Linked DNA regions of Lonchura striata. The protein of the gene in region 1 interacts with the protein of each later gene in a biochemical or structural test. Links are inferred from orthologs where the notes say so. Each region holds a gene or a part of one and is shown on either strand. Other genes may lie near its edges. The genes, in order: LRP1, LPL and DAB1.

What was found.
Region 2: the proteins of LRP1 (region 1) and LPL form a complex in vitro, tested with the Homo sapiens proteins (3 studies listed by BioGRID). The link is inferred for Lonchura striata from reciprocal best matches to the Homo sapiens genes LRP1 and LPL.
Region 3: the proteins of LRP1 (region 1) and DAB1 form a complex in vitro, tested with the Homo sapiens proteins (2 studies listed by BioGRID). The link is inferred for Lonchura striata from reciprocal best matches to the Homo sapiens genes LRP1 and DAB1.

Annotation. Positions count from the first base shown.
Region 1 is NC_134629.1:5,766,198-5,769,942, forward strand, and holds the start of LRP1 (prolow-density lipoprotein receptor-related protein 1), read left to right. Parts: upstream 1-1,183; 5' UTR 1,184-1,204; coding exon 1,205-1,277; intron 1,278-3,745. UniProt on the Homo sapiens protein: Endocytic receptor involved in endocytosis and in phagocytosis of apoptotic cells. Required for early embryonic development. Involved in cellular lipid homeostasis.
Region 2 is NC_134642.1:5,368,413-5,372,157, forward strand, and holds the start of LPL (lipoprotein lipase), read right to left. Parts: upstream 2,536-3,745; 5' UTR 2,517-2,535; coding exon 2,456-2,516; intron 1-2,455. UniProt on the Homo sapiens protein: Key enzyme in triglyceride metabolism.
Region 3 is NC_134611.1:7,735,066-7,738,810, forward strand, and holds the start of DAB1 (disabled homolog 1), read left to right. Parts: upstream 1-879; 5' UTR 880-1,080; intron 1,081-3,745. UniProt on the Homo sapiens protein: Signaling adapter of the reelin-mediated signaling pathway, which regulates the migration and differentiation of postmitotic neurons during brain development.

The DNA.
Region 1 (3,745 bases):
CAGGGTCCCACCGCCCTTGGGGTGGTGATGGTTTTGCTGTCCTGGGAGAATGGCGAGGCTCCTGTTGCCTTTAGCGATGGTGAAGGGCCAGTCCTGGGGGACAGCGAAGGTCCTGCAGCCCCGAGAGGACACCGAGGGTCCCGCTGTCCCTGCGGGTGATGGGTCCTGCTGCCTCGTCCGTCTCTGACCCGCGGCCGGTACCGGGTGTCGGTAGAGGGGAGCTGGACCTCCCCCGCACCTGGGGACCACCACAGCAGGGACAGGCCGGGCGCTGGAGCGGCATCACGGGCCGGTACCGCGTGTGGGCGCGGGACCGGCAGCGCTGTACCTGTGCCACACCGGTCCTGGCCCCGGCCCCCTGCTCGTACCATACTGACACCGATACCGACACCGACACCGGCACCGGACCCCTCCCGGACCATACTGACACTGATACCGACACCGATACCGGCACCGGTCTCCTGCTCGTACCATAATGACACCGATACCGACACCGGCACCGGAGCCCTCCCGTACCAAACTGACACTGATACCGGCACCGGACCCCTGCCCAGACCATACTGACACTGATACCGACACCGATACCGGCACCGGACATCTGCCCGGACCATACTGACACCGACACCGGTACGGGACCACAGCCCGTACCATACTGACACCGACACCAGAACCAGACCCCTGTCCAGACCATACCGAGACCGATACCGGTACCGACCCGGGACCCCTGTCCCTACCCGCACCCACCGGGGGGCGCAGCCCCGGCACCGCACGCGCATGCGCGTAAGGACCCCCCCCACCGCCACGCGCGTGTCCCCCCCCCCCCCCGCCCGTTCCCGTCCGCGGCGGCGGCGGCTCGAGCCCGGTGACGTCAGGCGGGCGGCGGCGCGCGCTCCATCGCCCCCCACCCCCAAAATCACCGCCCTCCCTCCGCCCCTCCCTCCGCCGCGGCGGCGGCGCGCGCAGAGACCCCCCCCCACCCCCCCATCCCCCGCCGCCCCCCGGCCCCGCCGCCGCCGCCGCCGCCGCCCAGCCCGGAGGGTCCGCCCGCCCCCCGGCCCGGCCCGGCCCGGCCGCCGGCCCGCCCCCGCCCGCCCCCCGCGGATGTCGGTGCGCGGGCCCGGGACGCGCCGCCCCACGGGCAGCACGGCGTGAGCAGCCGCCGCCGCCGCCGCCGCCGCCGCCGCCGAGCCGCCGAGCCGCCGGCATGGGGCCGCTGCTGGCCCTCGCCGGGAGCCTCCTGGCCCTGCTGGCCGCGCCCGCCGCCCGCGCCCTCGAAGGTGAGTCGGGGGGCGGCGGGGCCGGAGCCCCGCGGGGCGATACCGGCGGGGAGGGGGAGGCGCCGCAGCCGCTGTCGGGGGCGCGGGGCTCGGCCGGGCCGGGGAGGGGCGGGGGGCGCTGCGCGTCCCCCCCCTCCGCCGCCGCCGTGACAAAGCAGAGCGGGCGCAGCCCGGCCCCGCTGCGCCGTGGGGACACCGGAGGAACCGGGCAGCGGCGGGGAGCGGCGGGCCGGACCGGGGAGGCGCGTCCTCCGGGCACCGCTCCGCAGCGCACGGTGCACCCCCCGCCCCGTCCCCCCGCAGCCGCGGGGGCCGCTCGCTTGCGCTCTTTGCCCGTTCCCGTGGCTCCCACCCGCCCTCCATCCCCATTTTCCTCTGGAATCCAAAGTTTTCCCCGCAGCCAAGCGGGAAAGTTGGAGCTCAGCACCGCTGCGGGAGCCGGGGCCGGCGGTCCCGGTGTGCCGGGGGTGGCCGGGTCCGGGATCCCACCGGTCCCAGGGGTGCCCGTGACAGCCCGGCCTCGCCCCACGCTCCCCCTCTTGCATAACCGGGGCTGCTTCTCCCGGAGCCGCGACGCCCGGCTGCGGAGTTTGGCTGTGACCGGGCCTGGTGGCACCGGGAATATGGTTTATCCAGCCACCGGGGCTGTCCGTCCCCCGGTCCGTGCGTCCGTTTGTCGGTTTGTCCAGCCTCCCGCCATCGGTCCATCCAGCTCCTCGCCAGCCGCTCGTTCCCAAGCCGCGCACGTCGCGTTCCCGGCCCTTTATTGATCTATTCAGTAAATACTTGAGCTCGTCAGCTCCGCGGCCGGGCTGGGAATGTGCGAGGGGCCGCTCTTGGCAGCGCCCGTGCTCCGCGCTGGCAGCCGCTCCAGCCGGGAACCGGCGGCCGTGGCGAAGTTCTCGCAGCGCTTGGACGCGCCGGGCTGTTTTTTCCCCTTCAAAAGCAGAGAAATGGGGGAGTCTCGGCTTTCCTGTGGCGGATTCCCCTCTGTCTGCACGGGAATGGCCTTGTGAAATGAGAGGCTGGAATGATGGATGAACCAGAGGGGGTTGTTTTTTTGTTTTAGGAGGAGGTTTTTCTGTCCCATTTGCTTTGCCCACCTTGGAGCAAAGCGGGAGAAGGGATTTTGGTGTCGTGGCAGTGGCAGCATCTGACCCATCGCCGGGTTGGAGGGATGGAGGAAGAGGAGGAGGTTTGGGCAAACGCCAGATCCCTGCCCCAGATTCATGTCTGGGGCTGCAGGAGGCCGGAGCCTGTGGTTTCCATCCTCCAGCCCCTCCTCACCCTGCTGGGGATGCGGACACTCGATCTGTGTCCCTTGGAGGGAGGTGACAGGAGCGGAGCAGCTCAGGGCACCCTGCGGCCACCCCTCGGTGGCACCTGCGGGGCTGATCGAGCCGCTGGCACACACCCGGTGAGCTCGGCGGTGCAGGTGGCCACGGCTGAGCCCTCCGGGGTCACTCCTCCAGGGAACACGGGGGCTCGGAGGCATCGTCCCCGCTCGGAGGTGGCTCGGAGCATCCGGCGGATCCAGAAGTTGGTGGGGGCGGAAGGGAGGCATCGCTCATTGCATAAGCTGCGTTGCCTTTGGAAACCAGGCTGCGGAAAGATGATGAGCTGGAGGGAAGTTCTTCCATCCTCGGCTCCACACCCCAGGAGCTGGAGTGGGGCAGAGACACCCCTTCCTCCTGGTGCACGTCCCCCTCCCCAGGGGCTCCCCTTTGGGGACTGTGATGGGAACGAGGTGCTGTTCCACCACCTCAGGGTGCTGGGAGCTGTGGGAAGCTGTGGGTGGGAGGATGTGGGGGCATGTGGCGGATGTGGAGGCACCACAAGGATGTGGTTGGCTTGGTTAGGGGGCAGAATGTGCCACCAAGGTGCCACCTGAGCTGGTGCCTCAACCCTGGCGGTCCTGGCTGGGCTCTGGTTTTCCTGATGCAAGTCTCCCACTGTCCCAGCTGGGTACAGTGGGGCTCTGGGAGAGGCCAGGACATCACTGGGAGCAGGATGCAGGTCCCCATCCTTGTCTGGAGAGCCAATTCCTCACACTTACAGCCTCTGTTTGCGGTTCTGGAAGCTCGTTGCTTGTTTCTGGAGAAGAGGAGGCCAAAGTCCAGCTGTGGGGTGGCAGGAAGCTCTTCCATGGGGAACAAAGGGCACTGGTGTGCAGCTCCTGTCTGCCTGGTCCTCTGCCACTTGCTGGGGCAGAGTGGGGCATCCCTGCACCCTGTGGTGGCAGAACCCCAGGAGCGGAGTGAGGGCAGGCAGGGATCACCCTGTTCCTGTTTTGGAAATACCTGTGGTTGAGGGTGGCCGGGATGTTTTGGTGCAGCACTTCCCTCTTGCCACCTCGGTGGTCTGGCGCGTCCCTGTGTGCCCGTATGTGCTCCCAGGTGTCCCCACGTGTGTCTGCGTGTTCCCAGGTGTTTTCCCGTGTGTTTTTTCCTGTCTTGCCATGCGTGTGC
Region 2 (3,745 bases), on another chromosome or scaffold:
CAACAATTTCCTGACATTATGCACCCAGAAATAGAAATAGTATTAGCTAGGTGCAAAGAAATTATACTGCTAGACTGTGTCTTCTATAGCCTACAGAGACATGCATGCACAGCAGCAAACATCTGCACATAACATCAAATATTTACCAGTGTAGTTAACTGGGCTAAATCTTCCCTCATCCGACAATCAGCATTAGGAACACCCTTGAATCTGTCATACTGAATTTCTAAGAGTTCTGAAGCAAACTCACAGTCAGCTGTAGTAAAGGGCCTATATCACAGAAATGGTTGTTGTTCAATTTGATCTACACTATAAACTGAAAGCAGACAACTGTGTGTTGCAATCCCAGGAAACCTACATCACAAGTCAGGTTACTGTTTAACCTTGCTGCAAAAACATTACAACTTCACGTTTATTTATATATTCCTCAATGGCAGAGCCCTGAGAGTATGTTCTGCTTCACTTCCCAGGTGGGGCCAGTGGAAAGGGCAACACCTTTGGAAAGCTACTGGGCACAAGTTCAGAAGCTGGGTAAGAACCTCCCAGCTCAAGTTTTGCAGCTGGCAAACTGCTGTTCTCTCACAGGGGTGTACACGGGGTGCCCACCCCTCTCCGTGGTACTCCCTGACAAATCTTTACTCAGCTGCAGCTGGGGCTCCTGAAACTCAATCCAGCAGATATCTAGCCATCCATCAGTCCCTCTGGAATATCTGGAATTAGCTGAAGACAAAATGCAAACACCGTCAGACTTTGCAGTAATACAGAGGTAAGGATGCATGAGAAAGTCCTATCATGCAAGTACTTCTGCACAGAGAAGATTCCACCAAACTTTTAGGAGTGCTAGTCATCATGATAATCTCCAGAACAACTTGAGGCTGAGAGCCTCACCTCTGTGCCTTCTCAAAAATGCAGTGTTTCTCGAAGGCCATGCCACAGCTGCCCTGGTATGTCTATCCCAAACACAAACCATAAAAAAAAGCCAGCAGCTCACATCACACAGCAGTGTAAATATGCTGACTCTGGATTTACAATGTTAAAGATAAGAATCTGAATGTATTTATAATATGTTTTTATCTTTTCCTGGAACATCAATGTTTTCTTCACCTAGAAATATTTTTCTATGTTGTTTTTTAAATACTCTGGATTCCTGGAGGGCTGGATCATGTGTTTTCTGTGGTTTCAAAAAACTTTTTACTGTGGTGTGCATGGAAAAGTGCGGAAGCACGGCTTGAATTGCTCTAGGATGAACACACAACCTGCTTTCATACAACCAATTCCTAAGAAGAAATAGTGAAATTATTAGTAAGTCTGTGGCAAATCAGTTACTGCAGGGATGAAAGCTTTCTCTGGGAAGATAGTTATTTTAATATATATAGCTTGGATACTGTGATGAAAACTGGTTTTGATTGTCTGTGATGGCACAAGATTGGATTCAGACCTAGAATACATTCCTTTTGCTGTACCATAGCACCCCATCCTCTTACTTTTGAATACTTTCTTCCCTTCAGCTTCCTTGTACACAAAGAAGTAACAAAGGTACCCACAGCATAAAAAAATGGCAGTTTATATATTCCAGTTTAGGATCACAAAGCAGATCTAGGAGCTAAAGCCACCCTTTCTTCTAAGGCCAGAAACTTTTAAAGACAGATACTATGTGTGGGAGATCAGCGCAAGAAAGTGAGCCTGTGACAGGGCACTGCTAACAATATTCTAAGAGGGTTTTTTTTTAAGCTTGAGGAATAGTGGTCTCCTAAATCTAGTCAATTTGTCCACAGCAGCTTCAATTACATTGTGATTAATTGAGAGAGCTTTAGTAAAAATCTAGCACCATTTGCACATCTTCCACTTCCTCTAGCTTGGACAGGATGTCTATGCACAAGTACAACAGGCAGAACGCAAACAAGTGAGCCCAGAGAGAGAAAATCACTCTGTTCACTTCTCCCCTAGTGGATCCTGCTCATTACAGGCTTAACTACAGCTTGCACACATTACCACGATAACAATGAAACTCAGCCTTGCCTTGTCTAGGAACAAGAACTTTACTTAGCTGGGATGCTGGGATAGATGAGTCCCACAGAGGAAGCCGAGGGATCTTACCGTGATGCTACTGCTGTGCAAATCCCCTGCTGGGGCAAGGGACTCTCGAAAGCCACCTTGTCTCTGGGAAGAAAACACACCCCAAACCTCAACACGTCCCGCCACTAGCCCGGCAAGCTGTGCCTGGGTTTCGGCTGGGGACCAGGCTCCAGGTCTCAGGGTCGCTCTCTAGCGCCTTCCAAGCCCTCTCCGCGAAACCCGGGTCCCGCAGCATCCCGAACTCCCGGGACAGCTTCACAAAGGAAAGTTGCAAGCTCCCTTTTCCCGCCACGCCGGCAGCGCTTCCCCCGAGCCCTCTCATCCCAAGAAGCAGCAGGCAGGCCCGGCAGCTCCCCGTGCCCCCCGTCCCGGGACTCACCGCCCGGAGCCGCCCAGCGCAGCCAGAGGCACACGGCGGCCAGCAGCGCCTTCCTCCACATCTCGCCTCCTGCCGCGGGACCAAAGCGTCGGCGCGAAAAGAAAAAGAAAATTTTTTTTTTTTTTAATTTAAAAAGTAAGTAAGTTTTTTTTTTTTTTTCTTTTTTTTCTTTTTTGTTGGTTTTTTTTTTTCCTCTAGCAACTTACGATGACTAAGCCAGGAGCGCGGCGCCGGAGTGCAGCGACAGACGGGGCAGCCCGGGGAGCGCCCAGCACCGCCAGCGCCGCCTCGGCCCGTCTTTATGGCCCGGGCAATATGCAAATATGCAAATGAATATGTAAATATGCAAAGAACCCTGCGCGCCCATTGGGCGAGCGCGGAGGGGCGGGGCCGGCGCTGCCCGGGGCGTGGGGCGGGTTCGGGCTCGGCGCTCCCGCGGGATGGAGCGGAGCGGGACGGGATGGGATGGGATGGGATGGCACGGCACGGCACGGCACGGCACGGCACGGCATGGCTCGGCGTGCATGGAGCCCTAGGCTCCGAGCCCTCCTTGGGCCTGGCTCCCACAGCCCTCCCAGAGCCCTCAGCCCCGCAGCCAGCATGCGGATCCCGCGTTTCACCCCCTAGGTCCTTCCTGCCTGTGGTGACCCAGCTCTGCGATGCCTCTGGTGGGGTCTTCCTTCCCATTCCTGCTTTTGCACCAGTAACCAGCAGCCAGCTGCATTTTCTGTACAGTGCTCGGCAAGGGGCCTTCTGCTGTTCCCTTGAAAAGTCTTTGCCAAGACTTTGTTTTGCCAGCACTCGAGGGGATACAAGTTTGGAGAAAATATTAATTCACTGGAGATTGCATCTGTGCTCCTGAGAAATAAAAAAAAATTGATTCCTTGAGCTCTTCAACTCTCTCTCCTCTCCTCTCAGAAATGTGGTTTTAACTGAGATCTGTGTTGGCAGCCACTGGGTGAAAGATCAGTTATGTAAGGACATTAATTTAATAACAATACCAGTTTTCATTTCATTGTGCAGTTTGTTGCCAAAGGCGCAGCTTCATAAAGAAGCTTATTACACAGGGAGTGAGGACTCCCTGGATTTTGCAATGTGAAGCAAATGCGATTCACTTTAAGGACGACATATCTTTTTCATACCAGACACCTTTGGAGACTAAAACATATCTGGTTTATATTAGTGAGATTGTTCAATAAGAGATGGCTGAAGTGTAGAAGTAGTACTGGGTCACCTTTCCTACTTTAGGTTCCTCTAAAAGACCAGTAAGATCTATAAATGAGAATACAT
Region 3 (3,745 bases), on another chromosome or scaffold:
CAGGGCCGGGCCGGGCCGGGCCGGGCAGGGCAGGGCCGGGCAGGGACAGGCAGGGCAGGGCAGGGCAGGGCAGGGCAGGGCAGGGCAGGGCAGGGCAGGGCAGGGACGGGACGGGACAGGCTGGGCAGGGCAGGGCAGGGCAGGGCAGGGACGGGCAGGGATAGGCAGGGCAGGGCAGGGCAGAGCAGGACAGGGACAGGCAGGGCAGGGACAGGCAGGGCAGGGACGGGACAGGCAGGGCAGGGACAGGCAGGGCAGGGCAGGGCAGGGACGGGCAGGGATAGGCAGGGCAGAGCAGGACAGGGACAGGCAGGGCAGGGACAGGCAGGGCAGGGACGGGCAGGACAGGGACAGGCAGGGCAGGGACAGGCAGGGCAGGGCAGGGCCGGGCAGGGCAGGGCCGGCAGCCGGGCGCTGCGGGCCCCGGGGGCTTCCAGCGGGAGGGCAGCGGGCCGGGAGCCGCGGCCCCTCGCAGGGGAGCCGGGCGAAGGACTCCGGGCCGGAGCCGCCGGAGGGGCTCCCCGCGGCCCGGGCGGGGCGGGGGGCTCCGCTGCCGCTGCCGCTGCCGGGGGATGCGGTAGCGCGGAGCTGCAGGGCACCGGCGCCGCCTCCGCCCGCGCAGGCTCCGCGCCAGCAGCGCCGCAGCCAGCGAGCCCCGGGCGCGCAGCCCGCCCGCCGCCGGAGGAGGAGGAGGAGGAGGAGGAGGAGGAGGAGGAGGATGAGGATGAGGATGAGCATCAGCGGGAGCGGCGCGGCTGCAGGTAGGAGGAGGCGCGGGGGGAGCCGCCCCATCGCCGCCGTGCGCGGAGCGGGTCCCGGCGCCCCGCGGAGCCCGGCGGAGTTAACGCAAAGTTTTTGCGGCGGGAGGGAGGCGCTGGCGCGGCGGAGCCGGCGAGGAGGCGGGGAGCGATGCTCGGGCGGCGCGGTGCCGCCCGCTCCGCCGGCCGGACGGGCGAGCGGGGATGCGAGCGGAGCGGGAGCCGCGCTTCGGGGCCGTGCGCGGGGATTTAACACTGCCACAGCCGGCCACGGGCAACTTCGAGCCCTAGCGAGCATCTCCGAGCCGTGCTGGGAATGAACGTGAGGCACCGCTTCCTTTCTATTTGTGTGTGTGTGTGTGTGTGTGTGAGAGAGACTCCCGAGCAGGGTTTTCTCGCCATCCACCTCTGCGTGCCAGCCGGGAAGGGGCAACTTGAACCAGCTGTCCCCTCTTGGGTTAATATTTACAGCCCGAATAAATATTTTGTTGCCCTTCTACCTTCTTCTCGACGCCTTCTTGTAGTCGAGATGATTAATCAGGGATGTTAGTGGCCAACTAGGCATAACCTTGTAGAAAAATAATTATGTGAGGATATATGGGGTTTGACTAGTGATGTGATACAGAATACACCCAGATCTCGGTAGTTGCTTCCCCATGTGTGCACGTTCAGTGTGTTTTTGATTTTGAATGGAAATATAAGTGTAATGATAAACATGTTACTTCCAGGGGAAGAATGTTATTTTCCTTGCCAGTGAAATATACAGCAGCTTCAAAGTAAAATGTGCATATCTGTGGATATAGAGAGGGGTTCTCTTTTCTGGTCAGTCACTAAAATGTTTTTCTCCCTTTTGAATGTGGTCTTTCTAGTGGTGCTGGTTGCTTTGCATGTTTGGTTTGCAGAATGAATTTCATTTCAGTGCCCTCGGAGTCTCGAGAGAAGAAGTGCACTGCTGTGTCTTCTGAGGCTGGTTGTTTTAACTGATCTTGTTAAATAATGCTATTATTAAATGATGGCAAATTGAAGCAAATGTGTTTTTCATTGCCCACAAGTTGTGTCTCTGAGCTAAATCTCTTTTTATGGCTGGAGAGGCTCTTGCACTGCAGTATTACAATACAGCCATATTAAAAAGGTCCTTGGAGCAAATAACCCTCTAATGCTGCAGCTATGTTTTCAGTAGACTTCAGTAGTTCTGTGGGAAGTGATTATGTTGGATTTAAGGAATCTGGGTAGAATTGCTTGTGCTTTTTTAATTGTGGTGTTAAACTGCCTGTAGACGTTGGTGTAAGTGGTAAATCTAGACCCAAAATCTAAAGAAGCAAAGCTCCAAACCCAAGGCTTTATTTGTGATGAATTTTTTTTTTTTTTTTTGCAACAGGTTTTTCTGTTTTTTTTTTCTTTTTTTTTTTTCCTTTTCCTTCCTTCCTTCTCCCTTCAGTTGGCAGAGAGGTCTCCAGCTTTAATGCCTTTCCTTGACCAAGCAGAGTGCAGTGGGAGATGATACCATCATTCTCCTCTTGTATGGTTTATTCTGTCTCTGGTGCTGCAAAGAATGAAGGCGAGTCAGACTAGAGATAAAAGGGAGAGAAGATGCCTGAGGTTGACGGTGTTGGCAAATTGATTGATTAAGGTTTGTTCTGAGGAACCCCACTAGATTTCAGGTGGTTTCTTTGGGATGTCCTGCTGAAAGCACAGGTCAGCATCTATCCTTCAGTGATTTCACACCAAATTCTCTGGTGTGTGCTTGGCAGGTGTGAAAAGCAGACATGGAACTAAGCTTCTAATGTCAATATTTGGTGCTAAAAGATTAATTTTGAGCAGAAGACAAACAGTTTGGTTACTTTTCTTTAACTACAGCTCTTCATTACTGGTTTTTGTTTGCTCTAGTAAACAAACCCATAGATCTTAAAATTGAATTAAGTGTATAAACTGCTTGAACCAGAGAGGGGAGACAGACTAATAAATAAAGAATTAAGCTATTGTGCCATTGACTGGCTGATTACAGCTTTGGCCTGATCACTCAAGCAGTGCTCCAAGCAAGCTCTCCATGCCCAGCACTGTTTTTTCTGGATTGGAGGATGGGAACGCTGGTGGTGACTGGGGGGTGATGTCTGCTTGACTGACAGACACTTATTGCAGAGTGGCACTCACTGCTCTGTAATTTTGCCTCTGTAATGATTTTCCCCAGAGAGCTGACAGAGAATTAAAACGTTTATGATCAGGTTTTTTGGAAGGGTTCCTCAAGATGCAGAGAGGAGGGCAGGGAAGTCCATCCATTTTTAGATCTTGCTAATCCCTTGTGTTGTTCCTGTAGTCATGCTAATTTTTATTGATTGTCATGGCAGTAGCTGTTTCAGAGCACAGAAGTGGAAATGTTTCACTTCATTCAGGGTAATCCTAAAAAGAAATCAAAGTGGGAAGGAAGGAGTGGCTGAAAGAGTTGTCTCACTCCAGTCTTTTCTTCAGGTTGTTCATGAAACAAAGGCAATAAACAGTTCGTGCACTTTTGAAATCCAATTTCTGTGAGAGGACTAAAGTTTCCATCCTGTGTTTGCTGTAAATGCAATATAATCTTGACACTACCTATCATAAGGATGCAAACCTCAAAGTTCTCCTGCTCAAGCCCATTTCTCCACTGGAGCAAAACCATGGGAACAGAGGAGTCTGTGGTGGAGGATGGATGTCATATCCCATGTGGATGTCAGCTGTGTGCAAAAGGAGCTGAGCTGGAGTCAAGGCTGGCACCCAGGCAGCAGATGACAGAAAAGTGTCATTGATTTCTGGTGACCAGCTCTAATCAAACTCATGTGTGTGCTGAGATCAGGAACACGCTCTGTGCTTCTTTAACCATCTGATGGTGACCTAAAAATCCCTCTGTGATCCATCTGTGCTCATCAGGTGAGCCTCAGCCAACACTGGTGCCTGGTATTCACCCTCTGAATTTCCTCACTCAGTTCCATACCCTTCCCTAGGCATGTTTGCTGCAG